Linked DNA regions of Drosophila melanogaster. The protein of the gene in region 1 interacts with the protein of each later gene in a pairwise test. Each region holds a gene or a part of one and is shown on either strand. Other genes may lie near its edges. The genes, in order: CG17122 and CG18766.

Region 1 (16,126 bases):
TTCGCTTTGCTTTTCACAACGGGCTGCTGATTTTCAGTTGTCTTTCTCCACAGCAAAAAAGAGAGTTGGGAAATCTTATTTTCCATCGTGCTTTCCACCTGTTTACTCGGTTATTGTCCAGTTGACTTTCGCATTTTCCCTGTCACCTTATCTTTACTATTTGTCCAAATGAGCAAATGGTTGCCATGCCTTTTGAATGCGAATGAGGTCCGTTTCAGGTAATTACATGCGGGTGTACCTCTTTTACCTCTGTTTATTTTTAGTTTTTAACCCAATTGCACACCACACAAGGGGGGATGTGGGGGGAAAGGGAATTTCACCAGGTAACCGAGGTTTATACACACATAGCTATATATGTGTGGCGAAATGGAGTTTTAAGTGCAGACTCAGCTCGTTGCGACTGGCCATCCTTGGCCATTGATTAAGAGTAAACAGAGCATGTAAATGTTTGGATATTCAAACTGTGCATTTTTCCTTTGTGGCTGGATTTTTGCGCAGTTTAAGGTTCGCCATTGCAGCAAGCGTGTGTTTTGTGGTGCCACCCAGTCCCAGTATTCCCTGCTCCGTACTCCGCGGAGTTTACGGCGAAGTCACCCCAAAATGTTGTTGGCCGAGTCCGAACGGAATTTTCCTTGCCCACAAAATATAATGAATAACGGCGATACCACGGAGTCCAGGGTGGAAAGGCTGGTGGCCACCCGCGCAGCCGGGGCATTGACATTCTGGCTATCCAGAGGATAGAGAGTAGAGCCCTAAGCACAGGACCTCCCCTAGTCCGTTCCCATTCATCCACACTCTTCCATTTCGATTTTCCCGGACAGCCGTGCAACATAATTCTTCGGCCGCCGTCGCTTTGATTTTCCGCGCTGCGAAAATTTCGCAGTTCTAGGCTGGTCAGTAATGCACTGGGAGAAATATGGTCAGAGTTTTTTTAATACATGAGAGCATTCGTTTGGAACTTAGTTGGACCTAAAACATTTTAATTTATCCGTATTGAAATATAGTTAATTTTTTGAATTATATGATTAACTATATTTTAATTGTGTATGCGTTTTCTTTATCTGAAAAATCATGTTATTTGAATTCTAAAAAAATAACTAGTGCGGGTATGTTTAAATTATAGATATTCGTTATAGTTAACATTCCTAAATACTAAACATGTAATTTATTTATTGACTTTTCGAATTGTTCGAGTGACTCGATAGCGAATTAGCGCTCTCCGCTGGGCGGCAACTGGGTGGCGACTGGTTGGCAGGATAACGGATAACAGCCGTTCAAAGGACCGCACAGTGCAGTTAATAGTTTTCCAATGCCGCCGGGGGCACACACGCACTGCCCTCTGACCTCCGACCTCCGACCTCCGATCGCCCACAGCGACACCGATAATCATGTTGATGGGCCTGCACTATTGAACAAGAAACTTCAGCCGGCTTTGTCAATTGAAAATGGGAAATTCGGGTGGGTGGGTGCTACACAATCGAAAAAAAGAAAACCATTCTGTGGGCTCTCCTCTTTCAATTTGGTGCAAATGTCTGTTTTTCTATTTGGCCCCCTGCACGATTTCCACTACATTTCCCACACTTTCGCAGTGCGCCGGATGACCATAGGATTTGTCCGTAAGTCGGGCTATTTGCACATTTTCCGTGGGGGAAACTCGTCTTCAAAAATCATATGCGACATGTTCTCGTTTTCAGTTCAGGGAAATTCGAATTGAATTTGTATTATAAATGTAAAACATTTTATTTGATGGGAGTAGGAATATATTGAATAATTTAAGACCTGTAACATTGGCGTCTTAAGAAGGAGGTTGTATTTACATTTTAATAATATAACAATATAAATGTGTTAAAACGTACTTATCATTTAAAGGCGAAATGAATGTGAAAATTAAAGAAATTTCATAAATTATTGGTTTATTCACTCAAATGTTACTACCAGCAATTTTCAGCTAAATTGGATAGAAAATCACCCAAGGTTGTGGTATTTAAATGTTTGATTTTAGTATTCTCACATTCGAATTAGTGTCTTAACTAACCTTTCTAAAACAAAGAACAGCTATACAACATTCAAGGCATTCGTTTCCGAAAGACAGTTCAATTTGAAAAGGGAAACACGACATGGGTTTTCCATTTCCATTCACAGCCAACGGTTTCAAATCCATGAAACATCCATGGGAATAATCGGCTATAAAACTGAATGATTCTGGCTGTAAAAGGCGTTCGTCCACAACCAACTGTTGTTGGAAAACTCGAAAGCGGGTAAATGCGAACGGACGCACGTGTGTGCGGCAATTGGCAGGACCAACTCATTAGCGCAAAGGGCGTACAGTGTGCTATATAGCACACATACAGCACACACATATATAGCCGCATATAGCGTATAGCATCTGGTCATCGGGCGATCCGTGCGTGTCCGCAATTAAGGTGCTGAAAAGGACGAAGAGGGTAACATATCCCAGTGACGCGACAGATTTCGCTAATGACCATGGTGGGGGTGAGTGGGTATCCACTGGATGCCTCTTCCTGTTCACTGAATATCCGACACTAGCCCAACCTGAACCACCTTCGGAACTTTTGTTGATGAATCGAAAAACTACGGGAATTAGATGTGCATGTCAGTCGGGAAATTACTGGCTATGCCACCTTATCCTCGCCAGCTGTTAATGTATCGCCGCCTCTGGTCAGGGATCAAAAAGTTGTTAATATTTTATTTGTGGCTGATTATTTAATTACGCGGAATGGTCGCTAGCTACCCACTGGGAGTCATTATGTTCGCCATTAAAATTTGCCCATATATACGTCAATTTGGTTTTATTTTAGGGCATTACTTGAGAATTTACTTGAGAATAGTAATCTTAGATATCAAATAGAAATTACGACAAAGAACAAAATAAATGCTGAAGTATATGGAGTTTGGATTAAACTATTGTTCAAAAAATCGAGTCTACTCGCAATTTATTTAGGTATTGTCTAGTCACTCCGAATCTTGACTTTTCCTTCTTTATGTTTGTTTTATTCCTTTGTCCTGGAGCATAACTTCCAACGAAATCGCATTGAATTGTGGAAATAATCGCCATAAAAATGTTTCGTGCTCGACTAGTAATTGGTTTGGGAATTTATGAGGGTTGATTGTATTTCTTTTTTTTTTTTTTGCTTCCCCCTTTTGAAACATACATACAGGCATAGAACAGGTCATATATGTGGGGTTTTTGGTTGGGGGATGGGGAGTTTTAATGCCACAATAGGGGCCATTGACACCCTTTGTTGGGAGTTTATTTTAAAGCTTTTTTTTTTACTTACGGACAGTTTATTTGTATGGAGCAAGAGTTGAAGCTGTTAAAAATACGGCCCTAAGTCCTATTCAATAATGATTCATAAAAAAGCATAGTCTTTTTGTTCATTTTGTCATTATCAGCGGAATATGAAGGATAATAAATACAACATCAATATCTGAGATAAGTTTTACTTTCTTAACTGCTGTTTAAAAGCACTTGTTAAGTTTTTACTGTAAGACCATCAATATCCCAGAATAAATTATAAAATCAAAATTGAGTAAGGAGAAATGAGATCATCATAATAATTTCGTTAGTGAGTCTATAAATGTGCACCTCAATTTGTCTTGAATTTGATTTGTGTGCCTTTCAGTAAAGTCAACTTTTTTCTTTTTTGCAGAAAATGCCTGGCAGGTAGACTTCTGTCTTTCCTCCACAGAAGGCCAGCAACGTCGCAGCAAAAATTTTCCTCTGGCGATGAAAGCTAAACAAATGACGCTCCTTTCATGAGGGATTGGGCTAGGAGCCATCTGCCGCGCCATCGCCATCGCAATTGGAATCAGAATCAGAATCGCAATTGCAGAATGTGTGCCAGCGACGTGGAACCTTTGGTATCCTTCCACTGAGTGGCAGGCGGAGATTCTTTCTTAGACTGACACCTCTGATTGAATCGGCAAGGGCGGGAGGAAGTAAGGGGAGATCGAAGGGAAAGCCGAAGGAAATGCGGAAAAACTCAAAGGAAATGGCGGCGAATCGGAGGCGCAAGAAGACAATCGGCATGCTGACATCGGGACTGAAATCAGTAGTCAAGTGGAAAATTATTGTCTCATCCATAATGTTGCTCTTATTAAGCGGGACAAGTGAGTGAAACTCATTTACGGCACTACATGTGACTGCCTCTGACACATTCGGCCTGAATAAATACATAAATTCATTTGTACGCCCAACAGGCGTATACGCAATATTTGGATAGCACACAGTAGATACTTTGAAATGGTCAGCAAGGCGTTATCCAAATCATGTTGTTTCACTATACAAGTGCAAGTGCAAACTTTACCAGGGGAGTTTACTAGTTCTGGCATTTTCACCATCTGTCATTTTGAATTCGACAACGAGATGTAAAACCAACTAACAGAAATACCCTTTATGTCCTTGTAAATATATTTAGGAACACAACTATTTCACAAAATGCACAAGAGCTTAAGGATCAATTGCATTAATATTTGAATATTTTTTTGTAATATAATATAATTAAAAAATCTTGCAATATCTAGGATATTAGGTATATATTTTGTATATTCCGTTTAAAATAGAGATCAGTAGAGTTGAGTCTTTATCTATCCACAACAAAAAAAGAGAAAGACATCAAACTTCGTGGCTGTGGATGGAGTTTTCCTTCTATGTTTTTGTTTTGTTTGCATAATTTGTACCCGGGGGAGTTGCTGGATGCGAATGCGACTCAATTTACACGACCTGGGTGGAGTGAACAATGGCCGAGGCTCTTCAATGGGTCCAAACAGAAGGCAGCCACACGAAACAAATTACAAGGATTTATAATTCTTATCTCTCCGCTTTGCTTTTCTCTCTCTCTTGTTTCATGTGGTGACTCCTTGGAAATTGCCGGCATTGTGTACTCCTGCTACTGCAATTTGGATTCGGATGCGGTTTCGACAAAAGGTCACGTGCTGGCGGTGCGAAAGGGTCGTCTGATGTCCCCCAGCACATTCACCGCCCTCAGCGGGGACCTGCATGTGCAGATCCAGTTCAATGGGAACGAGATGTCTTCGCAGGCGGAGGAGGAGCACACCATCGGTGGTGGCCCGTCCAACGAGGAGCCCTTGAGCTCCAGTGACGGGCTGAAGAGCAGGAACAACACCATAATGAGCACTTTAGTCATTAGCAAAATCATTGATGAAGTGGAGTCACCGCTGGAAAAGGGTTTGACTCCGGGCCCCGAGGTAACCAATACCAGCCAGGTGGTGCTGCATCGCAAGCGCAAGGAGGTGGTGCAGAATATACCGCTCTTCCCGGATCCCCGATTCAATGTCACCCAGGTGACGGTGCCATGCCAGACCTTCCTGATCGGAGGACGCTACGAGATGCAGGTGGTGAGCAATCTCAAGTCGGTTAACCGGAGTGAGGTGACCACCACATTGGTGCCCGCGCAGGATGAGCGACTCCACCAGACGCTCGATGTGCGATGGCCCAGTGCCGAGATGATAGTGAGTCCGGTGCGCCTGAAGACCTATCCCAAGCATCCTGTGGAGGTGACCCTCCGCTTTCCCGAGGTCAACTGCAATCAGTCGGGCAGTCTGGCATTGCCGGAATTTTGGTTGGAGCTAATTTACTGCGGCAAGGATCGCAGCTGCAATCGGAATATAACCCCAACTAGTGTCCTTTTTGCGGAGCAAATACGCGGATTCCCCAAAAACAAGAGCCTCCATCTGGGATGCGAACTATTTGGACTAGCGGGAAACTATGCAGTCCAACTGAGACCGATGATTCCCGCCCAGAACGTGCCCACCACCCGGCGGCTACTGAGCGTCGATTGGAGCGACGAATTCGTGTTCAACGTGTATGCCCGCAGCATATTTCCCTGTGATCCGCACACGGGAATCGGTGTCCTGTACGAGTATCCTGGCTGCATTCTCGAGCAGGGCGACCGGGTGCGTCTTTATGCTAGGCTGCGGGCCGATGTCGCCTCCCTGAAGCCACCCACGTCGCTCCACTATGTCTCCGAGCAGCGGGTCGTCAAGAGCCAGCATTCCCTGTACTTTGCCTGCGAGCACTTCTCCGAGAAGTACGTAGAGTACTGCTTCGTCTACGTCAGCCAGGCAATTTCCGGAGCCGTAGCCGATGTCCGGATGGACTGTGTGCCCACCCTGCCCGTCAGCGGTGAGTGGTCGATGGTGCATTAACGCCGTTTTTAACTCCATTAAAAGGAAAATCCCAATTAAGCTGGAGTTCAAATAGTTCTTAACACATTATTGCGTGTGCTCGCTACACTGAAAAAAATACCCTTTTAATTACTATTTCGCATTAATTTTTAAAAAAGCATAACTTCAAATTTTTTCACATTATTTAAATTTTAATCAAGCCCTAAAGCATTACAAAGGCATTTTTGAAATACATAACCCTCAAATAGTTTCATTTTCCCGCCCCATTATATTATATATTTAAGCACGCTGTATAAGTTTTGAAGTGATTAGCTCATGACACCACTCTTTCCGCAGACTCGGATACCGGTGGCTGGGGACCTTGGAGCGAGTGGACGCCCTGCTCCACAAATTGCTTGGGAGGAACGCGCAATCGCTACCGCTTCTGTGACTCACCACCCCCGCGATATGGGGCCAAATTCTGTGAGGTATGTAAGCCCAAATAACTCGCCAGATTAACCTCTGAACGACCTCTGCCTCCCCACCTGATTTGACAACGTTAACAGCCAAAGTTTGATTGAGTGCTCCCAGAAATGATTAATACTTTGGCGCATCTGAGCCATCAAGACGATTTCAATAAGTGCGGAACTACAACTAAAGACAGGCGAACTTCGCCCGACTCTGGGGACTTCGTTACCCAAGAGATTGCTTCCAGCTTAGTTCACACATTACACTCGACTTTCCTACACTGAGCGAATTCTAAACACTTTATATTAACTAAAAACTCTCAGCTTAGAACATATAAATGAGGGCATAGCCAAACTCAGCTAAAACTCAAATACAAGCTCAAACATTTTCATTAGTGACGAAACAAATACATTTTTTTATATTCCCAAAAGTAAAACGGATAAAATCTTGAAATTGAAAGGCAACTGAGTAATTCCTTGCAGTGTAGCCCGCCGGGGCAAAGTGGAACTATTTCATTGTTTTTGTTTGTGGGCCATGCCGTGGAGTGGACTGGCAGCCGGAGTGGGTGGCTTCGGCACGGTATGTTATGTTGTCTGCAAGCGTGTTTCCACACTGCGACACTTGCTCCAGATTGCGTGGGGAATTTACGACGCTTCCGACAATTGTCGGCCTACTGCGCCACGCTTTATCTTGTTTCTTTTGTTGAAGCGAGTGGAAGAATGAACCTCCGCCTCCGTCACTATCTGTTCCCGCACTGCCACCATCCACGTCCTCATCCGCGCATTTCATTATCCAAAAACTTCCGGCATCAGGATCCAGCGATAGGGGCACATTTGCCCGTACTTTGCCAACTTGTTCGGAACAATTACAGGCAAAGTTTTTAAATGCTCCGCACACTTATTGCAAGTAGTTCTTACACGGGAGTCGCGGACGCCACGGATGCTGGAACAATGGATTCGCCGTGAGGCGACTACAATTGCGTGGGCGGCTGTGTCCATGGGCCGGCTGCTGGAGGAGCACCCGGTCGGTGGGTGCCACACCCACACCCACTTGCCTCGACAATTTGCATTTGCCCCCAAAAGAAACGCCCGGAGGCGTTGCCGCCCATGTGCGTGTACAAATATTGCCCCACGGGCTATTAATCAAACAAAGCTCCCACACGGCAGGCACTATTTGCTTTTAGAAAACACGGGGAATAACCTTTTGTGACCACAGAAGCACCACAAACTCAAATTAGTGGCTTTCTAGTGGCGCTTTAAGCATTTTAAGGCAGTAAAATGTTTACCATATTCATGATTTAGGCAGAAAAACACATTTAAATTAAATTTAAATAGAATTTAACCAAAATTGTTAGTCATTCTGGGGAGAAAAATTTATAAAATGGAGCTTAAAGTTATATATCTATTTGTAAGGGGATAGCTAAAATACCTCTGAAAAAAAACTGATATTTTTAATGGTTTTTATAGAATATATTTGTCCAGTTTGGTTTATTTAAGGTAATGCTGTGGTTGAACTAAAAAATGATTCTTGTTCGCTGAGTTTCACTCTTTTCCCAAAAAAGCCACATCTGTAATGATATTCAGGTTCGCTTCCGAAAACAATTGGAAATAATAGTACATGTGTATACATATAACAAATGGATTCACTTTAAACTCTTTAGGTCCTTGGAAAATGCTTTACTAAATTAATAGTCGAGTTCCTTCCAGAAAATAAAGCTTTATGGTCAAACAGTAAAGGATATGGGTTCAGCTTTGAAAAGCTTTAATTTCCTTGACAACGGTTCATCAACTAGTTGTTATAACAGAGCTCATTTTAATTAAACAAAGAACGATGGGTGTGCAAATTCATACTTATAAACAATGTCACTGGCGTTTTGTAATTCTTAAAATATCAAACACTCGTCAAAATTCGTAGACAGTCAATTCTGATAACGAACAGCAGCCTCAAAAATGCCGCCGAAAGTGAAGAAGGAGAAGAAGGATGTGAACAAGGTGACCCAGGTGGACAGAACCTTCTACGAGCTGACCATCACGGATCTCAACCAGAAACTAGCTCGACTGCGATCCCACGTGACCACCGTCGATGAGTCCAACATCACGCTGACCGAGAAACTCAAGGAAGTGGAGGCCGATGGCGTCGACGTGGCCGCTCACTTGGAACGCACCCTGGCGGAGAGGAATAACTCGATCACCGAACTGGAGGAGCGCCTGGTAGAGATCACCAAGGTGCGGGATGTGGAGAACCGCGTGGCACAGGAGAAGATCGGCGACTTGGAGTCGAAATACAAGGCCATGCACGACCAGTTGACCTCCGAAATAAAGCTGCTTAATGGCAAGCTGAATTCCCTCGACGAGTTCCGCATCCAGAGGGATGTCCTGTTGGCCAAGTTCGATGAGCAGGAGGCGGATCTCAATGAGCGCGAGAAGGATCACAAGGAGGCGCTCTATAATATGGAACAACGAGCTGTGGTGGAGAAGGATGCGCTAAAAAAGGAGGTCGAACAGAAGCTGCTGCAAGTTTCCGAGGACTTCACCCGGTCCAGTGAGATCCGCAACGCTGGCTACACCCGCCGCCTGATTCGTGAGAACATAGCCCTGCAAAAGGAGATCGATCTACTGGTCATGTCCCAGATAAAACTGCAGCAGGCATATACCAACCAGAAGTCCAAGCACAAGGAGATGGAGGAGCAGTACAGTGCCCTCGATCAAATCAAAAACGAGCTGGTCCGCAACTCCGTGAACAAGATCAAAATCATTGAGGGTCTGACCAGGAACTACGAGAAACTGAAAGCCAAGTACGTGGAGGTACTGCGCTACAAGAAGGCCTATGAATCCCTTCTCCAAGCTGAAAAGTGCGAGAATGTCAAGCAAAAGGATGCGGCCGGAAAACTCCGGACCCTGGCCAAGCGAATGGAGATTTTGGATCTGGACAATCGAAATCTGGAGGTGGTCCATGCCCAGCACGAGATCGAGATTACTCGACTGCGTGGAGTCATTCAAGAGATCAAGTGCACTGTGCGGGATGCGATTGTGGCGGAGCAGGCAGCCAAGAAATTCCCGGAGAGATTAGTCGAGGCCAATGTGGATGATCCCGCAATGATAAATGAAGTTCGGGAGGAGGCCATATCCCTTTGCAAGCTGAAACGCAGCGATTTGCTCTCCCAGCTTATGAGCATCGTGAGCTCCCATTCGGAGGAGCTTCCGAAGACTCCATCGATTGCCTCCATTGTCAGTGCCACCTCATCGCTGTATGCTCCAGGTAAAATGGGCTTCATGCCCACGAGACCCAAAGCAACGCCATTCGACGCCTTCCGCAGCGAGGTCATCGAACAGGAGCCGGATCGCACCGTTCCGGAGGATCTGCAAAAGCAGAAGATGCAGGATCGGCTAATGACCTCGTTGCGAGGTGACGAGAATACCATAATCGATGTGGAATTCGGCACTACTCTATACGTTTCATCATCGCGCGAGGACGATCTCATTGAGGTGGAGGAGGAGCCACTGGAGGAGCCAGAGGGTTCCACCAGCTCCATGTCTGTGAAGAAGGCCAGCAGTGAGGGTTCAGTGGCTCCGCCCGAAACCGTACCGCTAGCCGTTTCCGCATCCTCGAAGGACATCAAGGGTGCTCCCAGCATTGGGGCTCTGGACACACTGACGGCCACATCCAAAATGACGGGTGTTACCAACGAGGACGAGGGCGAGGAGGAAGGCGAGGAGGAGGACTTCGATGTGCAGTTCGTCTACTAGAGGGATATGAAAATTGAGTTTACTTGTAGTTCCAATTTTGTTGAGTCTTGAATAAATATGTGCAAAGTCAAAAACGTGTTATTCTTTCGTTTAAATTCTTTAAATGTTTCATTAACATAGAAAGACTTCATGATAATTTCCATAGCTCATACACCTCTGCAGTTCGATTCGTCACTACTTTCTTTTCTTTTGAGCGCTTTTTTAAACTCTTAATAATATAATTTACATATGTATTTACAGGGTCCTTCGGTTGAGACCCAAAAGTGTGGCAAAAGCATCGCCGACACGTGGGACTGCATTTACGAGACTTCGGGTACAGTCATCACCAAGGAAAATAGCACCGAGGTGAGCCAGGAAATTGGACCAGGATGTCGTTGCGGCTGCATTGTACATCTGGGCTCTTCGAAGCCCAAAAGGATCATTGCTGGAGCCACACAGAGCTGTCCTGGCCGCTCATTCTGGCTAATACAGGTACAGACTATTAACCAATTCCATAACAACCTCTCAACTTACCAAAAAAATATAAAAAAAAAAATAGTAGAAAATAGGGAAAGTTAAGTGACGCTGCCCTTTGGCATTTGGTCAAGTTTTGAAAGCTTTCAAGTTGTCTGCCGCCATAACTATAAAAACGAACAATGCCAAACACTCAGATGTCCAAGTCCATGAATAAAATTCCGCTACGCTTCGCAGGCTGCCCCAAAATGACAAAGAAGCCCCCACTCAATGCTCCATGCCACAGGGCAGTGGTGCTCCGATCTGGACGCACATCGCTGGCCAAAGGGGGCTGAACTCAATTCATGCATAATAAATGCCCCACTTGGTAGGCGTTTTGGCCAGTCCCCAAACTATCAATGCGTAAGGGGTCCAATGGGGGTGAGCTGAACTTAATGTACTCGGTATTCTCGGTAGGAAGGGGTATGCTCAACGCTATCTTGGGAAAAGAACATCCATTGTCTTTTAGTAGGTTAAAAATTGCATGGAAATAAATTGTTGGAAAAAAGGCAAGAAAAGTGAAAGAAAAAAATTAACAAACAATTATTGGATACAAGCAGATTTATTGCTGGAAAAAATAATATTGAAGAGATTTTTAGAATAGAAAGAATCTCGGGTAGAAAAATGATTATTGACTCCGAGCTATACTATCGAATACTAGGAAACAAAGTAGATAGGAGGATATAAATAAATATTATAATGAAGAGGAAATAAATACCATATATATATTCGTATATAAATATACGAATAGAAAAAATTAAAAATTTAACTTTAAAAAATTATGAATGTATTGCAAATGTTTTTACATTTTGCTTGATACAACACCCTCTTGACATTCCACCAGATGTTGGGACCCATAAAGAGGCCTGAAGTCCAGTATATATATATATATTCAATGGGTATCAGATGAAAGGACTATCGACTTTTCCATCCATACACACTTTGACTCAGGCCCTTTTTTGTTCGATACAATTGGAATGATTAGACCTGCCAATTGACACGTTCGAGGGATGAGGGGAATGTGCCAATGGGCAGGAGGCTTAATGGTGATGAATGCCTGACCCACTTCGGCAGCATCCGCTTGCCCCATGCCCGGGAATGTGGGGAAACCCCAAGCCAATTGCCCGTATGTTCACGAACACAAAATTCCTTTTCTCGCAGGTGGATGGTGAGGAAAGCATTTCACTGGCACTGAGTTTCCTCCGCTTGCCTTGTGCCACCCAGTACATAAAGGTGCGCGATGGACCGTCGCTTTCGTCCACCCTTCTCGTGGAACTCAATGGCGGTGGACTGATCCTCAAGGGAGCCGGCGTTCCGGTGGTCGTCGATTCCACTGGTGGCCAACTCCTGGTGGAGTTCTCTGCCGGCGATGGACCGGCGGGCAATGCCACTCAGGAGGCAAGTCCAGCCTGCACCGGGGGATTCATGGCCAATGTGCAGCAGCGGTTGGGTGAGTAAAACTTCGATAAATATTCAACGAATTTAATAATTTAATTTAATTTAAATGTTCAACAGCTACAAGGAGCAGTAACAGTAGTATCACACTTGTGGCCGCCACTCGTTTGTCTGGAAAAACTCGCTCTGTTGTCCACAAGTCCATGTCAAGACTTCGATTTACCCTGGTTCATCTGAGTGCCATGATCTTTGCCAGCATAATCATCATAATTAGTTCCCTTTTAGGTGGGCTCTTGAAATATAAGTATAGATTTTATAGATGGTAATCACCACTTCTATCGCTTCTAGGTGCCCAATATGTGGTGCGATATCGGAAGTATCACCTGGCAGTGGCTCGGCGACAGGACGAAGGATCCAGACTTCACACTCCCAGAGCATCGCTGAGTTCCCTGCAAGGTCCTCCCTCACGGGCCATGTCCACAACAACTCTGCTTTCGGAGGTCATTTACATGGTGAAGATGCGGCCCAAACACCACTTGCGACACTCCATTCTCCGCGAGAGCGTGGACGCCGAAAATCTGACCAAAGAAACGGAGTTCAAGGAGTCGGATTCCCAGGGAATGCTGGCGAAATGGTAAGGCTAAAAGAGAGGTGGAAAAATAAAGCTAACTAAACTCGTTGCAGCGCGGAAATTAAGGAGCTGGGAAGCTCGGCCTCCATGGTGACTCTGCGCAACGAGAGATCGTCACCAGCGCGATCTCTGGATACTGGAAGTATCATTGGATCACCTTCCTCTGCGGAAGCCGAACTGGCTGCGGTTCACAGCAGGTCAGAGTCCAAGGATTCCCCCTCGGATGAGCCAATAGAGCCGCCGAGCTGCAAGGACAGCGCCAGGGACTCGGAGTCCATCATATCCTCAGGAATGAGTTCCCTGTGCAACAGTCCACCGATGAACAGCAAGCGACTGAGCAAGTACTCTGATCGCTACGATGCGGTGACCCTGAAGTTACTCTCCTCCAGATTGGATGAGAGCCTGCAGGATGCCAGCTCCCTACTATCGGTGACCGAATCCTTCAGATTGGGTCGCCTGAGAACCCGTAGTGTCAGCTCTTCCCTGACGAATGTGAGTTACGAGGTTACACTGGAATTTCTTCAGCTAAAAATTAATAAAATTAGAAGAGCTCACTAATAGTTAACTGTTTCAGGGTTGCTATTCACCAGCTGCCAGTGTGGTTAGCACGGCGACCATCAGGACGACCAGTAATCCCAAGGAGTCCAAGGAGAAGCAGAATCGAAGGAAACTCCTGGCCCGACCAGGCTCAGAATTTTCGCTTGGAAATCAAGAAGAACTTGAAATGGATTACTACGATTACAATGTGATCAATGCAGGATCGGCACCGGGCTCCTATCTTGGAATGGATCCGGCTTACCTTATCTGGATACCACCATTCGAAGAGGTGGCGGAGCGGGAAGAGGACGACAAGACTCCAGAACCGGAACCAGATCCCGAGAGGGATGAACGGCAGCCGCTGTACGAGGAGATCCGGATGCCCAAGTACGGACACTACCTAAGTCCAGCCAGTAACACGGAGTCCAGCAAGTCCACAACGGCTGACAACACACCCAGCTCCGAGGAGAGATCCCCGCCAGATAGTGGGCGTCCCTCAAAGGCCACCTCACCCTGCGATGGAACCGAAAGGGGTGGAAGATCCATGCCCAAGCAACCCACTCCCTTCATGTCCAGAAAACAGAGACGCCAGTCCAAACAGCAGATGCAATCCAGTTTGTCCTTGAGCGCTGGTTCGCTGGATCATGAGCAGCGACGCAGCAGTAAAGTTCCAATCGAAATTGCTGCAGTGCATCAGAAGGTGGAAACCGAACTGGAACCCAACGACTCCATGACTGGCTCTTATGTGGAGAAGGAAACTGCCGTGGAGAAATCATCGGGGGATCTGCAGGAGTTTCTGTCTCTCGATGATATTCAGTTCGCCGACGAGAGTGGCAGTGACTACGAGGCTGTAAACCTCAAGAAAGTACCCAAATCGGAGCTCCAACTAAGCCAGGATGATGCTCGATCCAAAATCTTGCGAAGAAAGGAGCCGAAGTCAAAGGAAGTGGCCGTGTAACACCAAGATATAATTGTACATAAAACCAGCACAAGAATAGCAGTATATGTTTAGTATAGTTTATAATACGATCTTGTAAAATACGGGTAAATATAATATATACATATATCAGCACCATACGAAACGTAGACCACCTGGAGTAGTAGTTGTGTTTTTAAAGCTAGGATTAAAGATCGTCTCAATAATATGTAAACTTGAAAATCGAAAAGAATATAGAATGTAGTCTCCACAGCTCTTCTTTAAGCCTAATCTGTTCAATCTCTCGTTACACTGTACATATATAAGTTAGCTAAGGCTCACTGTAGTTTAAGTATTTATTCGCACTCGGCTATGTACACAAACCAGTTTATATTGATTTAATTAATGGATTTTATTTGGCAATTACTTGAATTTATAATTAGAGAATTGGAATTATGAAATTTTGTGATCTTCATTTTGTGCTTGTAAGCATTGGAAAAATTCTAGTCAATACATTAGTCAAAATTAATTAGCATTTAAAATCAAAAATGTTTTTGTTTCTAACAGTTTTAAAGCCTTTCTATATCACCCCGACCTGTAAGATAAGAAAATAAATAATAATGAATGGAATAAGATGTTTTTGTTTTTTATTTTATTTTTTTTTTTTGAGTGGGGTGTCTATTGTTAAATGTCAGCTATAGTAATGCAGCGCAAGTTCATTTTGACAAAAGATGCATTTATTATTTAATTGGCTTTATAAGCATGCGGATCTGTCAACAACGATTGCACTTTCTTGCCAAATTCGCATGAAATATAGAGAAATGCATCAAATGACTCATTGTTTTTTTTTTTTTGGAAACATATATTAGAACTACTCTTCCTGGGAAAATAAATAGATATACAATTTTGGATATGAGTAATATGATTAAGTTTCACTAGGAAAAGTAATTAAATTACTTTTCTTAGGGAAACTAGACATACTACTCGCAGTGCCGAAAATATTTATCCTACTTTCCAGAGTGTAAAGTTCTTTTTTGCTGAGATCATGCATGTTGATGGCTTTAGTTTTATTCTTGGGATCCTTGGGCAGGATGTTAAAAGATTTAATATGGGGCTCTTCTATTTTTGCTCTGTATGTCAATAGTTCCCGACGCCTTTTCTCTTTTCTCATCTGCTCCATGAAAGGTGCTTCCTTTGCTCCGTGATTGCCTCTAATAGTTCGGCATATAATGCAGGCACTTTTTTTCCGAACAGGCTTTTCATTTTTAATCTTACGAGTATCATCTGGAGGTCTTAAAATGGGCTTCGAATTTTCCTTAATTGCTTCAGATACCTTTGGCTGATTCACCTTTGTGACGGTCGTCTTATTTTCATATATTTCTGTATACGGATACATCAGCAAATCGCTATCGGGTATTCCTTCGATGTCGATTGAGGACGTATCTGTATTATCGATCATGCTGTGACGGTTAAGAAATTGCTTTACCTTGAACAATCTCTGCTGGTACATTTGCGACGTCGTATCAAGATTGATTTTTCGAATCTTCGAGTTTAACCTTTCCAGAAGGCTTTTGCGTTCCAAGGTCCTTCGATCCGCTGAGTAGATACTGCCGCTTCTATAGGAGGTCTCGTCCTCATTATCATCTGAGTGCTCTTCGTAAGGATAAACTGGTAACGCTTCTATTTCGGTTTCAATAGAATTTGTTGGCGTTGGCGGTGCGGAGTTATGCCGAAAAAACCTTGATTTATCCTTTATTTGAGACACATTAGTAGTCGTTTTAGTTTTCCTTTTTA
Region 2 (16,769 bases), on another chromosome or scaffold:
CAGGACATGCTCGATGACGATGAAGAAATGCTGCAACGGCAGGTGATCCGAGTCCAGCATGCGACCATAACGCAGCGACTGCTCCAACAGCTCCTTGACCACCAGCTTGCAGATATTCACCAGATTACTGCGCTCAATTTCCGCCGTGTCCCGGGCTGCAAATGGAGGAACGGTGGTTCCCAGATTAAAGACTCGGCCGGCGCAGAAATTTGCTTCAAAACAACTGACAACTGATTAACTGAGTAATGAAACTTCATGTGCTCTCCTGGCTGCTTTTCTTTCTGGCACCCGGGGGTTGTCCCATATACAGCATCGACCTGGCTACTTTGGAGGTGCCCACAAACGATTTCCAAAACGAACTGACCCTGCAATCCATGCTCAGCTCGGAGCTGCGGGATTACCGCAATGGCCTGATCGAGACGGTCGATGAACAGGTGACCAATCCTCCCTATTCCCCGCCGCGCAGATACCAAGAGCATGAATGGTTTAAGGATCTGCCCAACGAGCTGCAAAAGGCGACAAGGAGTACCACAGAATCGGACTCATTCCTGGGCACCAATCTGTTTGGCAACTACCGCAAGAATTGCTTTTCCACGGAGGACATTGCTATCATATCTGCACGCAAAGACTTCGAGCTGCTGGTGCCGAAATCCTTTCCACAATCCCTTCTCACCGACAGCCTTGTCTACATGCTTCTCCGGTACTTTAATACTGTTAACCAGATCGTGAAGCGAATGTCAGACGATGATACGCGGCTCATCATGCAGAGAGCATTCTACGATGCCCTGGGTGGCTATCTGCGCTACTATCTGGTGCCCATGGCCCAGTTATCCTTCTATGCCGGACGCATCAAGCTGAACACCGTGGAGCGCTTGGTGAACATTTATCAGCAGTGCAAAACGACGCTCAATACGAACGGAAATGGGTGGCGAGCTCCGGACAAGGATATATTGTCGCAGTTCAAGGTACGAAAGATCGAACCCGTCAAGCTGCCCAAGAGCTGCTATTCCCAGGAGGATGCCTCCAGCTGTGCTCAACTGGATCAAACATGCATTTCCCAAGAGCCGGATCAAGGGAGCATGATTGTGAGCCTGCCTCGACTGGAGACGCTCGATGAGAATGGCTATATGGGCAACATATACTTGCCCTTTCGAAAGCGACGCATCTACAATCTGCGTTCTCCCAAATCGGAATTTGTCGTGGTGAAGTTCTTCCAAACCCTAACCAACTGTCATCGGTTTCAGGGCATTAGCCAGGCTAATTACAATCGCCAGTTGCTCGCCTGGATAAAGGAAAATCTGGAAATGCACTATGGCGATGATGTATTCTACCCGGGTCTGGGCGGTATTCTGCAGATTCAGGAGAGGCTGTCGAAAGAAGCGAAGAATGCGGAGGAGGAGGCCCGGGCGCCAACCAATAAGAATGACGGGCAGGGATCACCATCCTGTCCCAAAGAGGACTCCCGCAAGATGAGTCGCTCCGCTATTCACTGGCAGGAGGCTTCAGGGCCAGTCGAGGAGTCGGGGCCGGAGCCAATGCACCAGGACGAATGGCTTACCGGATTGGATAAGGTTCAGAGTCGGCCGGAGGAAGTGGAAGAGTGCCGCGAGTGCGACAACGATGAGACACTGATCTGGTGCATTGCCGCCTTTCTGACCCTGCTTCTGCTCCTCATTCTGCTCATCATTTGCTGTTGCATGCGAAGGGGCAGGAAGAAGAGGGTTGCCCCAACGGATGCAGAGGCTCCTCCGCCGAAAGAGAGGCCAAGAAAAGAAAAGGAGCCGCTGAAAGCCAAAGAACCAGAGAAGGAAAAAGAAAAAAAAGATGAAAAGGACGAAAGTGATGCTACTCGGCGGTACTACTACTCCGGTTCTGGTCGCTCCACCTCACAAAGATCGGTGCCGAGCAATCGTAAGTCAAATAAGTTTGTGGCAACTAAATCAACTAAATCTAACTGCTCGAGTTTATAGGATATGCGAATAATCCCGAGCTAGATTCCTTCACCTCATCTTCGTCGCTGGGATGTCAGTTCAACAGGAAGTGCATGCCACTGAAGTTCTCCCGAGCGAAAGGAGGGGACTACTACGCACCGGACAAGAGCCGAGATGCGGTGGGAAAGCAGGTCACATCCCTCAAACTTCTTTCCGATGATTCGTCTCCTAGCCGAGTTCCCTACAGGGACGTTTGTAAGCCCGCTCTAAAGTCGACCCTATCCGTCATTCCCTCGTCGGACAGCGAAGTGGACAGCAGAGAGGATAGACATCGACATAGGCATGCCCGCGAAGAAGACAGGCGGAAGAAGCATAAGGACTTTGAGACGGGTCGTAAGAAAGAGGTAAGTTATCAGTGCTTCGCGTGCTTTTGATATCCTGAACTCAGAGTCACCAGCAGACCAAATCCTCAGAAGACAAAAAGCAGCCATCACCAGAAAGGCGATTGTCCAAACAAGTGAGGATAGGTAAGTGCATGACTGGTCATTTCTTAAGCCTAATCGATTCATTCACTTAATCCTCTGATGCTGCCATCTTAAAAGCAACACCGGAAATGTACAAGGATACATCCGATGATCCTCTTCTGCACAGGAAGAAGTCGCAGGAGAAACCAGATGTCCCTGCCGGTCGACAGAAGGGCGGTGCAGAGGTGAGTGGGATGTGCAAAATGTTATATGCCAAAATAATGATCTTGACGGTTTTTCAGTATTTAAAGGACTCTCCCAGCTGGGAAACGACTTTTGACGATAACTAGTTGGCAATTTTTTAACCCTTTTTCGTTTTTTAACCTTCCTATTTCTTAAGTGTATATTTTTTGATAAGTTAATAAACCCTATGATTTTTAACTTTTCCATTTCTCCATTGAAAGGAAAATGAAGTTTTAAAATGGGAGTTTTAACTGCCTAATTGAAATCCTAATCCTTAGGGTATTTCCTAGGTAAATCACTTAACTTTTAACTAAGAGCAAGCAACTAAATGTGCAACAATGCAAAGAGGCATGCAACAAGATGGAAGATTACAAGGGCCAATAAAATCGAGAACATAGATCTAGCCATTCACACATTTTAAAGACTTTCGTGCTTGATAAGAATCTGTCGTCTTCTATAAAAGCTAATGTCTACACAATAAACAAATGCCAATATCTTACGAAGAAAGATAAAAATGTTAATAAAAAACAATATTTTAAGAAAACTAATAACGTAGAAAAGTCTGAAGCCTATAGAATATGATGACTTGACTCTTCGAGTTCTTCGGATTTGTATGGCCCTTGCAATCTAACGAGAAATGAAGAGAAACTACAAAGTAGGAGCGTGCTTGGCAACAGAGGCAACAAGAAGCGACCTACAGAGATGCGACCACTCGGCGAAGAGGCCAACACTCTGGTGCTGCGACTGGGAGTGCGACTGGGACTGGCCGAGTGCCGAGGAGCCACTATTGACCATGTCGCACAGCCGGCGGCCGATAAGGTTTTCAATTGCCATAATACCATTGTCGGTGATGTCCAAGCCGCCTCCTCCACCGGCGTTGCCGCCACTTCCACTGCCGGTGGACAGTCCGGAGAAGCGTTTGCTGTTGCGCTTGCTGGAGCTGGAGCCCACATTGTAGTTGGACCCGAAGCCGCCCGTTTGGGAACTACTGCCGCCTGCCAGTTTCTCACTGGTCTGAGCTGCCTGGTTGCCCGTTCCGCCGGCCACATCAATGTCCTGCAGCTCCTTGAGGCACAGCCACTCGCCATCGACGGATACCCGGAAATTGCACAGGTAAATGGTGTCCTGGACACCGCCGGCTAGCTCCTCGCTGGTGTTGGCATGCGATGCCTTTGGCAAGGCAATCGTATTGCTGCTGTTGCTCGCCTGTTGTTGCTGCAACACCAGGGGTTGCTGCTGTGTCTGTTGCGGTTGTGGCGGCTGCTGTTTCGGCTGCACTTGTTGTGAGGGTGGATTCTGACCCTTTTGGCTCTTCGCCGCTGCTGCTTGCGCCCTTGTTGTTGCCGTTGCTCCAATTGCTGTTGCTGTTGTGCCAGTTGGAGTTGCTGCCGTGGCGGACTTTGCAGACTTGCCTACTTGTTGTTGCCCCGTTTGAGGCGCCTTCTTGGCAGCCATTGTTCCTGACGACAATGACGTCGCGCTGCCCGATGTTGGCGTTTTCACTGCACTTCTCAAGGGCTTCGAGCTGCTGCCGCTGGCACTTGATCCTGTTGCAAGGCTGCTCGACTTGATGCGACCGCTGCCGCTGGTGCTGCTGAGGTTGTTGTTGTTCGCCGACGACAACTTGGTCCTTTTTGTATCCTCGACAAGTCCACGCATTTCGCTGCTGCTTCAAAGTACGCCTGAGTAGTGTGTGTGTGTGCGTGGGCGTCCATAAAAATACAGATATATACATATATCGATATTAGCTGTTCAATAAGTTCCGAGTTTCCTTTGCTGCCGCTTTCCCTCAACTGTTTTTTCATTACCTTAGAGGGGTTTTTTCCTTTTGTAAACCTCTTTTCCAGAGGGTTTTACTTCTGAAATTAACAAAATAACCGAAAGTTCTCGCCGCTTTGATTTTGCACCGTTATCCTGTTGTGTACGCGTTGAGTAAGACTGGCAAAAAGTTCTTTATCCTATTGATTTGTCCAGTGCGCCAAGCTCGCAAGCTCCTCGCGAGCTTTCGTTGGGGGTGTTCTCGATGGTCACGCTGTGTGTGGTGCGCAAATCACCTTTGACACTTTCCCAATGCACTTTTAAGTTATTTTTAATCATATTATTTATACAAGTACCGAAATATTTCAACGACAGTTTCGCACAGCCCACGAAATTGCTAATACTAATTAATAAATACATTTTAGAATAGTTTTGAGTACCTAAATTGTTATATTAAATATATATGTGTATATATTTATATATATTATATATAATATATTTTATATATGCAACATTATTACTTAACATATTATTATTAGCGCACAATGGAAATTTGGTTTCCATTGCTGCTTATCATCGAATGAATAATAATTCGGACTCACCGCGTTTCAGTCGCTTTGCTTTCAGTTTCGATGGCGACGGGGATGAAGCACTGGCGCTCGCCACCGTGTCCGGCGCAACAGGTACAACAGGTGGTGCGGGCTCGTCGGGATACGGGTACGTGGTGGTGCCATCGATTACCTCGGAAGAGGCGGCTGCTGCGGCCGCATTCGAGAACTGTGTGGATATGTGGCTGAAGATCTGCGAGGAGATGCTCTCCGTGCGCCGGAAGGTGTTCCGCAGGCGGTCCAGCGATGACGTGGGGGCGCTGGGCGCAGGCGCGGCACCTCCGGTGGTGGGCGTAACCGGAATGGAGACACTCGAGGATTGGGAGTCTTCACTCCTTTCGCGGCGCACCAGCAGATCGTCCGTGCTCATGGCGAATCACTTGCTTCGCGGCGATTATCAGGACACTGTGCGGAGTCACATGAATCAAAATGACGCGATTACAGCCGCTAATTTCGCTTGTTTTGCGCTTGAACGCGGGTAAACAAAAAAGTTTGTCAATACAAAATTAAAACAGCTGTTGCACTGCGATTGGGGATGGGCGATAACAATCACTGGTTACAGATCACGGTTATCGCAGCTCGATGGGAGCTGTTATGTTATTGAACTGACTATGCTTATCGATAAGAAAACTCAAGCAGGTGTTAAAAGCATCATAGGGTGGCAACACTGTGCCCACTTTTACCGCCAAAATAAATTGCTAGGTTTATTTACGAAAATTAAACGCCCAACGAAAGGACAACGAATGGAGGAGGAATTGAAGCAGCAGTTCGACGAGATGGGCGTGGAGCCAGCGGACGCAGTTCTGGGCAGGTGTGCGGAGCTGGCCATTACCTACAACATCCACGACGCCACCGAGTTCGTGGAGCAGTGGATGGCCTTCAGTTTGTCGCACCTCCAAGGCGAGGATCCTGCGATCGAGAATCTGGGCGACTTTGAGCGCAAGGTGTTGCAGCTGCGGAAGGACAAGGCGGGATACAAGGCAACTGGCCAGAAGGCGAAATCATATGGTTCGCCCTCTGTACAGGATACGAGCTCACTGGCCACCTATGGCGTCATGGAGGACGATCCCATGCTGGATGACTATGTCAGCGAATCGGCAGTGGACTCCTCCGCTCTGCACACGCCCAAGGCCAAGAAGCAGTCGGATCGGACCGCCAATCTCAAGGGCGCCGCACTCTTTAGCCCCGCCAGCTATACACCCCAATCGGCAAAGAGGAAAGCAGGTTTAGAAACACCATCCAACTCAGTGGCCGGCAAGCCGGGCGATATAGTTGACACCTTCGGACATCCCAAACTCCTGGCTGGCTCCAGCTGGCAGTCACAAATGGAGCACACGGTTCCGGTGACTCAAAAACTGCTGCACAACGACGCCCCGCTGACCATCGCAAATTTGGGCTACATGAACGACCTGCTGACCGACCGATGTCACAACCTGCGCGTCCGCTTCAACCAAACCGGTCCGGCACTAGTGGACAAGAAACTTGGACAAGCAGGCGCAGCCGAGTGCATTTGGTATCCGCAGGATAGGCAGGTATTGCAGTCCGCAGGTGGACTCCACGCGGTGGGAATGATTCATTCCGAGGACGATGGCCCACTGGACGCCCACTCCGCATTTATGGCCGTTTTAGATGACGATGTAGAAGATGAAATGGACCCAACGCTCACGCTCAACTTCTCCAGGGTCAAGTCTGCCAGCATATTCCCAGGTCAAGTGGTGCTCGCCAAAGGGTTCATACCCAGGGGCAAAACCTTCATGGTAGAGGAGATACACACAGAGCGCAAACTGACGCCAGCAACGCCACTGCAAATAGACAGGGAGCTTCAGTTTGTGGTGGCCTCCGGACCCTTTACGGACAGTACGGATCTCTTCTACGAACCGCTGCACGACCTGCTCAAGTACCTCAAGGATCACAGACCTGACGTGCTGGTGCTCACGGGACCATTCCTGGATGCCGATCACAAGATGGTCGGCGAACTGGCCGAGACCTTCGATACATTCTTCGAGAAGATGATTGGGGGAATAATGGAGTCGATTGGTAGTCACACAGCAGTGCTGGTGGTGACCAGTCAGAAGGATGCCATGGCTCTTTCCGTATATCCAACGCCGCCGCCCGCTCTGCGCAGAACCTATCCAAATCTATACATGCTGCCCGATCCATCTCTGGTGGACTTGGATGGCTTTACGCTGGGCGTTACCTCAACCGACGTGGTGGACCACCTGTTGAGTCACGAGTTTGCTGTGAATGCCGGCGAGCGGATGCACAGGGCCATCAACCACTTGTTCCACCAGGGCTCCTTCTATCCTTTGTATCCGCCGGCGGACGAAGACATGGCCTACGATTCCCAGCTGGCGTTGAAATATGCACAGCTCAAACAGCTACCAAATGTGCTCATCTTGCCCAGCGATCAGCGGCATTTCATCCGCTTGGTCAACGACTGCCTGGTGATCAATCCCGGCCGTGTCGCGGACAAGAAGGGTGGAACTTTCGCCCGATTCCTGGTGGCGCCTTCGGTGCCGGGAAAGGCGGCCAACATGTTCAACAGTGTGGCGTGTCAAGTCCAACGCATCTAACCTGACCACTTTGTGATGATGATAAGGAAAGGATAGTGGGAAATAGATCAGTACAATATTATTAGTTAATATAATGAACACACTACTTTGTCATAACTTTTCACAAAATACATTCAACAACAAACAACTAGCATTAGTTATTTTGGGCCAAAGTAGGTATTGTATTATTTGTAAACATATGCCCTGGAGTTTTCTCAGACTCAAGTTTTATATACAACAAGATCAATAATGGCTAGCAACGTTGCTGCGCCACAAGCTTCAGCTGGAGGAGATTCGACGGAACTGGAGCGCTGTTGCTGGATCTGTTTTGAGACCGATAAGGAGGCAGGTCGCCAGGCTTGGGTGAATCCATGTCTCTGCCGAGGAACCAATAAGTGGGTGCACCAGAGCTGCATTTCCCTCTGGATCGACGAGAAGACCCGAATAAACAACAATCTGCAAGCCGTTTCCTGTCCACAATGCCAAACGGAGTACACCATTGCATACCCGAATCTCTGGATTTTCGATAGGGCTTTGGAGCTGACCAACGATCTTATCCTAACAAACTTATATAATTGCCTGGCCAATGTCTTCACGGTGGTCTTTGCCTATTGGTCAGCGGTTTCATTCGGAGCAAAAACATATTTGCAGATCACTGGTCAGGAAGGTCACGTTCATCAAATAATTCAATCGGGAGACCTGTTGGTTGTTCTGGTCGGATTCCCATTAATCTCGGTAGTTCTGATACTTGGACGCTTAATTCCCTGGGAAGATGCCCTGTTGCGCTTCATTAGAATATGTTATTCATTGCTGCGAAGTCTTTCAATGATGTGCCTAGGACGGAAATATGACCACCAGACCGAACCATACCCTTCTGCGCCAATGACCGAATATTCAGCATCGCGGGTGGTCTGTGGAGCCATCCTCTTGCCCACCATATCCATGTACGTGGGTAGAGTTCTTTACAGCTCTGTCGACGATAGATTGCAACAAACTCTTCTTGGGGGATTGACTTTCATAGCGATCAAGGGATTCCTCAAAATGTACCTCATGCATAGCCAATACATCTGTCGTATGAAGCGTCGTGTTTTGGATTACACGAAGGAAAACCTAGCGGAGGCAGACGGACACTAGGTAAACTCAAGATCTGCAAGAGAAGCAAGAAGTAATTTGAATATCTATTTAAATTGTAAAGTGTACAATTTTCCTAAGACTACGTGTCAATAGTGCATTCTTACTACCAATCATAAATAATCGTTAAAGCATTTATTAATTTATGCATAATAGTTTACAGCTAACAGTAGGAAATGGTGTCTAAATGTAATGTACTCCCTAGGATCTCTATGCACGATTGATCGATCCAGCCCCCTCTTTACGGAAGTCAACTCTGTATCGAGGGCGCGATCGTCGAGAACTAAAACTCCAATGTATATTTTAACTATACAAAAAATACTGTATGCCGTGTGTGTGTCCAATGAACTTGGCCGCAACTCAGATGCGGTTAAGTAACTGCGCGCCACCTTAAGTAATCCTCGCCTAACGTCTCACTTCGTTCGGCTTCTGTGCCTGGTTCCTGGAGCTGCGTCGTCCAACAACTCGTTCAGTTGTTGGGCTCCTGCTTGTATTGTTATTGTCGGTTGTTCACCCCCTCGGGATTGTGGCTGCTGACCATGCTGTGCTCCATGTTCTTCACGATCACATAGTTGGTGATGTGGTTGATGGCCTCGTCCTGCAGCCGCTCCGGCCAGCGCTTCATGTACGATTTGATGAAGTCGCCGAACGTGTCCACCTTATCGGGAGTGCTCTTGTGCGTGTCCACGATGTTCTTCACAATGTCCACGAACTTGTCGTAGTCCTCGTGCGACTTCTTGATCTTCTGGTAGTTGGCCACGCCTCCATTGGTGTTGCCCCCACCACCACCACTGCCACCGCTTCCACCGGCAGCCGTGTTCATTTGCTGATCCATGTTGTTATCCGCCAGGCGGGCTGAGGCAGCGGCAGCCACCGCCGCCACGGCCGCCGATGAGGCCATGAAGTTGTCCACGCTGCCGGCATTGGGTGGTGGCTGGGAGTGGTCCATAAAGTGCCGATGCATCCCGTACTCGGTCCTGCAAATCCCAATTGTTATTTAAACATGTTGTGAGGAAGGTGTTCCAATGCTAGTGCTTACTTATAGAACCCCTCCGTGTTGTTACTATTAAACTCTTGCTGAGACATTGGATTCTTCCAAACTGGTGACTCGGATGTGGATGGTAAGCTGCTCGTATTGGACGCACTTGTCATGCGTTTGTCTCTGGAAAATAATAAGATATTTTGTTAGTTTGGGATTGCTATATGGGAAGTATCTATCATATCTCAACCAACTTGTAACCGGTGTGTGCGGCCAGACTCTTAAACACATCATCCACTTGACTGTAGAACTTCCAGGTGCTGATGATGCCTGTGGTCTCAAAGGTCTTCTGCTCCTGCCGGTAGCGCTGCGTTAGATTGTTGACTTTAAAGTGAACCTCGAGTGCGGTAACAGGGACGCCCAGCGAGGTTAGCTGCTTGGCCATTGCCACATACAGATGGCCATTGCGTTTAATGGTGCGCAGCTCATAGGCGCAGACTTTCCATAGTTTGATCAGCTCTAGAACACCACTATCCTCCCATTGTCGGCGCTTTTTGTTGAATTTTTCATACTGCGAATAGGTATACGATTATATTGATGATAAAGCTACTGATTCCAAAGACAACTTACAGGCATTTCACATGGGTCTTACTGCCGACAAATGGGATTGCCCGACAATCTTCGTCTGCCAGCTGATGGAGGACATGAAGCGGTTTATCTAGTGGGCTGGCATACTGTACACGGATTCGCTCCTGAAATAAATCAAATGATTAGTTAACGTGCAGGTGTCGTTGTTTACTATTTGTATTGTTAGACGTATTAATATTGCAATCCCTATGAGTTTCAGGGATTTCTTAAAAAGTGCACACCACACGTAAATAAACAACCGAACATATGGTCAGCCACCTATTTGATGACTATTTAATTGAATTGAAATGGTAATTAATCTTTTGTAGCCTAATACCTTCCCACAAAAAGGGTTACGAATGATTGCATTTCATAGTTAACTTAGTTCTCGCGGCAATTAAAGGGTATAATGTTGTAATACACATAAAATTCTATTATATTGCAGCAGAGTTTGGATTCATAGAAATATTTATGTATTTTTAAGCTCCTAGAAGGACTCATTCCCTAGTTGTCATGGGTATTAATTACTATACGATATAATTATGCACAATTTGAAGTTCTATTTATATTCACTAATTAATTTCAGCTTAAACTTTTAAAACGCAAGTATTTTTAACAATTCTTATCACAGGAAACAAAATGTTATAGGAACTGTTTTAAATTTGGCATCCAATGATTTTAAAATGGGTTATTGTCGCTTCCGTGTTGTTTGTACCGTAATCCCATTGGCTAACAACCCATTTTCTGGCACTAAAGGGTATTTACTAGTCGGTGTACTTTGTCTATTTTCTAGCTTTCAATTATCATTAAGCCGGCTCACACACACCGACGCAGCTCAGCCGCTCCCGCACAAACACACACGCATGCAATGCAAATCGAACGGTAAACGGTAAACAAATATTAATTGTGCGAGCGAAACAAGTTGCGATATGCATGCAGCAGCTGCGGCAGCAGCAGAAGATGAGAAGTGGATGCGGCGACGTTTGGAATCGAAGTGAAGCGGTAACTCAAGTGTAGAAGGGAGTTGGGCTCAGATGCGGATGAAGATGCTCCGCCGACGTCGACGGCGACGGCGGCTGCGGGATAGCAGCATTGGAGCCAATGTACATATATGTAAGTTCGCGGGGGGTGAGAGGTTACTTTTCTCGAATACACACACGCACACACTTTTCCCATTTCAGAGATACACACACTCACATCGCATCCACATCCGATTTTCTTGCGTTGATTGCGTTCTATTGTTACGTTTTTCGCTTTGCTCCATGCAACAACGGGCGAAACAACAACACTACGACGCCAACAGCGTGGGCACAAAACTTAATAATAAGTCAAATAATTAAATTTTAATTATCTTCAAGAGGGAAACACACGAAAAACGTAGTTTGTAGCTCCTACGCTGCGCAGCTCTCGCAATTCGACTCTATAATGATGTTCTCGGCGTGAGCGAGACAGCATGGCATGGCAAGAGCAACATGGTGTGAGCGGTGCGGCTAGTGTGACATGGCGTTGCCAGACAGTCGCCAGTGCAGTGCGTTGGGGTTTCGAACAGCGCCAAAAGGTGGGAAATTGAAAATGTTTATTGCGGCTTTAGGCCAATAGAACCAAGTCATCTGCCATTTATCGTGCTCAATACAGTACTTTTACTTCAATCTCGGCTCGTTAGGGCGCAACAAAGCAAGCGCATTTCATCGCTCATCATCATCATCACCACCACCTACTCCCGCCTCCCTTCAACAAATCGCTTTTCTTGGAGCATAATGCACACACACACTGGCACAGTCACACCGACACGTATGTGCCGGTCATCATCATCATCATTAGGTTGTGCGATGGAGCAACAACAACAACAACAAAAGCAAACGTCATTAGCGGGCTAAATAACAAAAAATGATAATGTCGCTGCTGCCACAAAGTCGTCGTCAGTTGGCTTTGCTTGTGGGGTAATCATCATTAAATTGCACATCGTCTCGATGAAAAAGTGCTGGCGGGGCGGGGCGATAGGCGATGGGGGTGGGGCAAGGCAGAGGAAGAAGAAATTGGGGGAAGCGAAATCCCAATAACAAGGTCACCAAATATTCAAAAATCTACGAACCTAGCCAACTATATAAATAGTAAACTTTGAGATAATTAATAATAGACATACAAACTAATGTTGTTTATTTGTATTTTGAAAAATATATTACGTAAATTTCTAGTTATTGACACATATTTTTACTTTCAAATAGGTTTTAGTTGAATATCAATCTATTTTCATTCTCCCTAAATATATTATTATAAACAATTATGTTCTTCAGTGTTTACAAATTTCTATATTGCAAATATGTATCTTTTTCTTTTGTTACTAAGTACAGATTGTTTAGGAATACAAAATGAATATGTCATCATCTTCAAGAACTTGACATTTTAATAGCTACAACATCATCGTGCAGCCCCCACCTTTTATCATTTCTATAAACAATAATGGTCAGCTTAATAGTTACCCTTAAAATCAAATCATATTAAACTATTATATGTATAGTACAATACTTATCTTAATTTATTGTGCAACATTTTTAATATAATTTTAAGATGGCACCTCTCTTATATAACTGTTATTTTAGTGAATTTATTTTAATGAATCATTAGCTAAAATATATTTTTAATGGTAAATGCATGCTAGTGTTTAAAATGTATTATTACTTTTACTTAAGTATATTTCACTATTTTCCAAACTTGTGACTATTGCACTAACCTCAAGTGTACGCATTACTACTACATATTTGCCCCCTCATACTCAGCTTACCCACATTCTCCATATTCGCCGGTCATCATCATTAGGTTGTGAGGCGCCGAGAGCATCAGCTCCCAAATGCGAACGTCATTAGTGGCGGGAAAAGAGCAGCAAGGAGCACCCATAACGCTATCATCGGCAATCATCATTAGGTGGGGCGAAATCGCCCGGAGAAGCTGCGCAGGATTCCATTGAGAAGTGAGGCAGATGGGTGGCAGTAGCGCCCCATCAAGGTCAGCTGATTTATGCAGGCACATTTACTTTCTACGGCTAATCCGCACTTAAGCTGAACGGGGATCCGGGTACATGCTGCTCCCCCCACTTGACCACCAGGATGTAGTCACCGGGATCGCACACGCGGTAGGTGACCCTGTGTATGCCGCGTCCCAGGTGCCTGACCACCACCTCCTCGCAGGGACCGCGTTGCCCCAGTACGCCCACCAGGAGCATGTTGCTACCCGCCTGGCCGCAGTCCACGGTGAACTCGTTGCGCTCCACCAAGCTGACATGGGTGAGGCCCAGGCCACGGCTCTGTACTCGGCTGGCATCCGAGTCCGAGATGGGCACTAAAGCACACAAGATGCCAATTGATTATCACAGCTTTCGTGCACTTTTTTTTGACATATCCTACCTGAAGAACTGGCGGGCTTGCCATCGATGGACTCGGTAGCTCCTGCGATGGCCACGATGATGAAAGGAGAGCGAGGCAGGGTCACGGAATTGCACTTGATGTGCACCTTGTAGAGACCCGCTCCGGCGTCCAGCTGGCAATCGATCTGAAAGCGCTCCGGATCCAACTGCTGTTGCCGAACGGGCTGAATGGGCTGACCACTGGGACCTTCGACGCGCACCTCGAAGTTTCCCTTGACCCCGTTCCGCTTGATGATGAATCCCAGCGGGCTGTTCACTCGCACCGCGCCGCTGGGAAAGTGGAGCAGCTGCACCTTGCCGGCGTCGGTCAGCTCGGGTGCCACATAGACGCGCGGCGATTCCGAGGGATAGGCATCTAAAGAGTTGGGGGGCGCGAGATTCGTAGTGTATAAATAGCCGGTTCGATGTTTACTTCCTCATCGACGCTACTCACCCGCATCGGGCGTTCGCTGGTAGCGTCCAAAAATACCGCCCTCCTCCGGACTATTGCCCTCCAGGCCACTCCCACTCGAACTGCAGGCGGAGGCGGAGGAGGCGGCCTGCGTGTTCAGACGCATCTCCTGTGACACTTTGAACATGCCGCTGATATTTTCTCCAATTCGAATATCAATCGATTTTTTTAAAAGATTCCAAATAGTTTCCCCCAATTTAATTGGCGACTGCCCGGGGCGTGCTCCTTCGACCGACTGAACTCGCTGCTCTCCATCTCAATGGAATCGGCGAACTGCTCTCGGAATGCCAGATTCTCGATCTCCGCGATGGCGGAGCTCTCGCCATCCGATTGGGGCAAATGTTTACGATGCTTGTGTGCCGGGCAGCCAGCCAAATATACACGATATAGATGCAAGTCCGCCAGATGCGATTCCAATCCAAGCAGGAGAGTATCCAAATTGTTATGAATCGAGTAAATTTTAATGTGAATCTTAAATTAAAGGTATACCAACTAAAAATTCCATAAAATGTGTTAATCGCTGAATATTTAAACAAATATTTATTTTAAAGATTCGAAAGAATTTTATTACATTTTTTGTGACGAGCAGCAATTTAAATTTAAATAACGAATTTGAATAACACATCGTGGATGTGTGTAAGTAGTCTGTGTGGCTGGAGTTGGGCGAAATGACTGACTATGGAGTACGTTTGATGTCGTAGCCGTGCTGCAAGTTGTGATAGAGATGCGGATAGACGACCATGTCCGTGTTGGTCAGGAGTCCAGTTTCGTAGAGATTGCTGTAGATCTGTGGACGAATATCTCCTTTAAATATAAATGTATCTTTTTTTTTGGAAGTGAACCGACTTACATTCTCGGTGATCTTGAGCGTTCGTATCGCCTCCGCCCGCATGTGCAGCCAGGTGTGGCGCAGTCGCTCCTCCGCGTCCGATATGAAGCCCGGCGACCAGTTCTCCCTCAGCCGGAAGAAGTTAATACGGTTCTTCTCGCGCACAGCCCGCGGCAGCAATACGGTGTGTCGTTTCCTAGCATCCCGCTTGGCCTTCCCGTTCAGCATCTGCTGCTGCTTGGCCTTCTTCTCCTCGAGCTGGATGCGCATCTTGCGCGCGAGATCCTCTCGCTTTTTACTGGCCGCCGTCTCCGCAAAGATGGACACCTGGTGCGACTGGGCATAGAAGCGAGTGTAGTAGTCCAGCTTGCTCAAGTCTGGTGGCGGCATTATCTTCCTGAAATTGCCCAAATGACTCTCCTCCCAGGCGATTTGCTGGGCCAGTGGACCATGGTCCTCAGCTTCGGGTTCAACATCAACGGGTTGGGCATCCGGACTGCCCTTCTGGGCATCGATTTTGGGCTTGGAGGTGCCGCCACCAAGACGCGGACGTTGTACGGGTCTGGAAATATATATGTGGGTTACCAATGATGATGATGCTGACATGATGATGAGACACTTACGGGTCTCCCCTGATCTTGAGCAGCCGCTGCTTGACCCGCTTGCGATCCTCCTTGAGAATCTGCCTCTTGTCCGCCAGCACCGTGCTGACCAAGTTCAAGGTGTCCCGGATCAGCGGCCGCTTTACCTCCCTGTCCACCTGCTCGTTGGTATGGAAGCTGGGCGAGTGGTTCACCTCGAGGATGTACGGCTTTAGCTTCCAGTCCACCAGGATGTCGAAGCCGAGGATCTCGAAACAGGCCTGGATCTTGTCGTGACCCGGAAAGCAGGCATGGTAGTTGTGCTTCAACACTGGCCACGCACTCAGCACCGTCTTGATGATCACGTCGTCCACATTGCTCCAGAACTCCTCCACATCGTAGTTGTGTCGCCGCATCCAGTTGTTGATTGCGCTCAGCTTCCTCTTACTGCCGCAGTCATCGTTGTCGCAGAGTTCGTAGTGCGAGTTCCGCTTGTTCACCGAGTAGTTGGTCAGGTGCATGTACAGATCGTTGGCGTTTCCGGGCGTGGGCTCCACGTACTTGTTCGTAGCAAATCTGGCCAATCCCTCGTTGTACACGAAGATGCGCAGGGGATCCACGGAGGTAATCAAGGTGTACACACGCAGATCGAACTTGTACCCATCGATGAGCAGGGGCTGGAAAAGTGGATGCGATGGTTAGCCAGCGTATGGGATTCCGGATGAACAGCGGATACATTACCCTGTGTATGTACGTCTGGCAGATGAGGCGCTCATGTGGACCTATGGTCTTCAGGTCGTTTGTCAGCCAGATGCCACGACCCTGGGCACCAGAATCCGGTTTCAGGATGAACGTGCGTTTGTGGTTGAGCGCGTAGTTCATGGCATCTCCATAGCTGAAATCGTTGGTATCAATGATTAGCACTTTCAGTGTGAGGCTGGGGTTTACTTACTCCGCCGGCAGCATCCAGGTCTTGGGAAAGATCTTGTAGTCCTGTGGAAAGATCTTTAGCATTCGATTTAGATTCCGCGAGAGCAGATCCTTGCGACAGATCTCGATCATGCCCGGAAAGTGATTGATCTGCTGGAAGCGCTTCATGTTCTTGAACAGCTCTACGCCGGGAAACGAATCCGACCAGAGGATGTTCCACATCTTGGACTCCTTAACCAACTTGTAGCCCAGCGTCTTGGAGAT

Evidence for each region.
Region 2: the proteins of CG17122 (region 1) and CG18766 interact in a two-hybrid assay, tested with the Drosophila melanogaster proteins (2 studies listed by BioGRID).

The regions. Positions count from the first base shown.
Region 1 is NT_037436.4:20,267,693-20,283,818, reverse strand, and holds CG17122 (uncharacterized protein), read left to right. Parts: upstream 1-8,483; 5' UTR 8,484-8,564; coding exon 8,565-10,361; 3' UTR 10,362-10,430; downstream 10,431-16,126. Other genes in the region: gogo (golden goal), read left to right, coding at 3,993-4,131, 4,949-6,166, 6,505-6,635, 10,602-10,832, 12,015-12,303, 12,369-12,533, 12,597-12,882, 12,933-13,371 and 1 more; CG32228 (uncharacterized protein), read right to left, coding at 15,258-16,126.
Region 2 is NT_033777.3:27,233,527-27,250,295, forward strand, and holds CG18766 (uncharacterized protein), read right to left. Parts: upstream 11,724-16,769; 5' UTR 11,664-11,723; exon of another isoform or gene 11,491-11,663; intron 11,293-11,490; exon of another isoform or gene 11,120-11,292; intron 10,419-11,119; 5' UTR 10,303-10,418; coding exon 10,297-10,302; intron 10,238-10,296; coding exon 9,921-10,237; intron 9,850-9,920; coding exon 9,727-9,849; intron 9,665-9,726; coding exon 9,184-9,664; 3' UTR 8,809-9,183; downstream 1-8,808. Other genes in the region: CG31064 (uncharacterized protein), read right to left, coding at 1-155, 3,478-4,297; CG31068 (uncharacterized protein), read left to right, coding at 246-1,911, 1,971-2,335, 2,389-2,458, 2,534-2,640, 2,698-2,745; PolA2 (DNA polymerase alpha subunit 2), read left to right, coding at 5,748-7,577; CG17991 (uncharacterized protein), read left to right, coding at 7,806-8,690; CG5984 (uncharacterized protein), read right to left, coding at 13,334-13,629, 13,695-14,069, 14,148-14,292; TTLL6B (tubulin tyrosine ligase-like 6B), read right to left, coding at 14,842-14,952, 15,016-15,556, 15,618-16,252, 16,317-16,470, 16,528-16,769.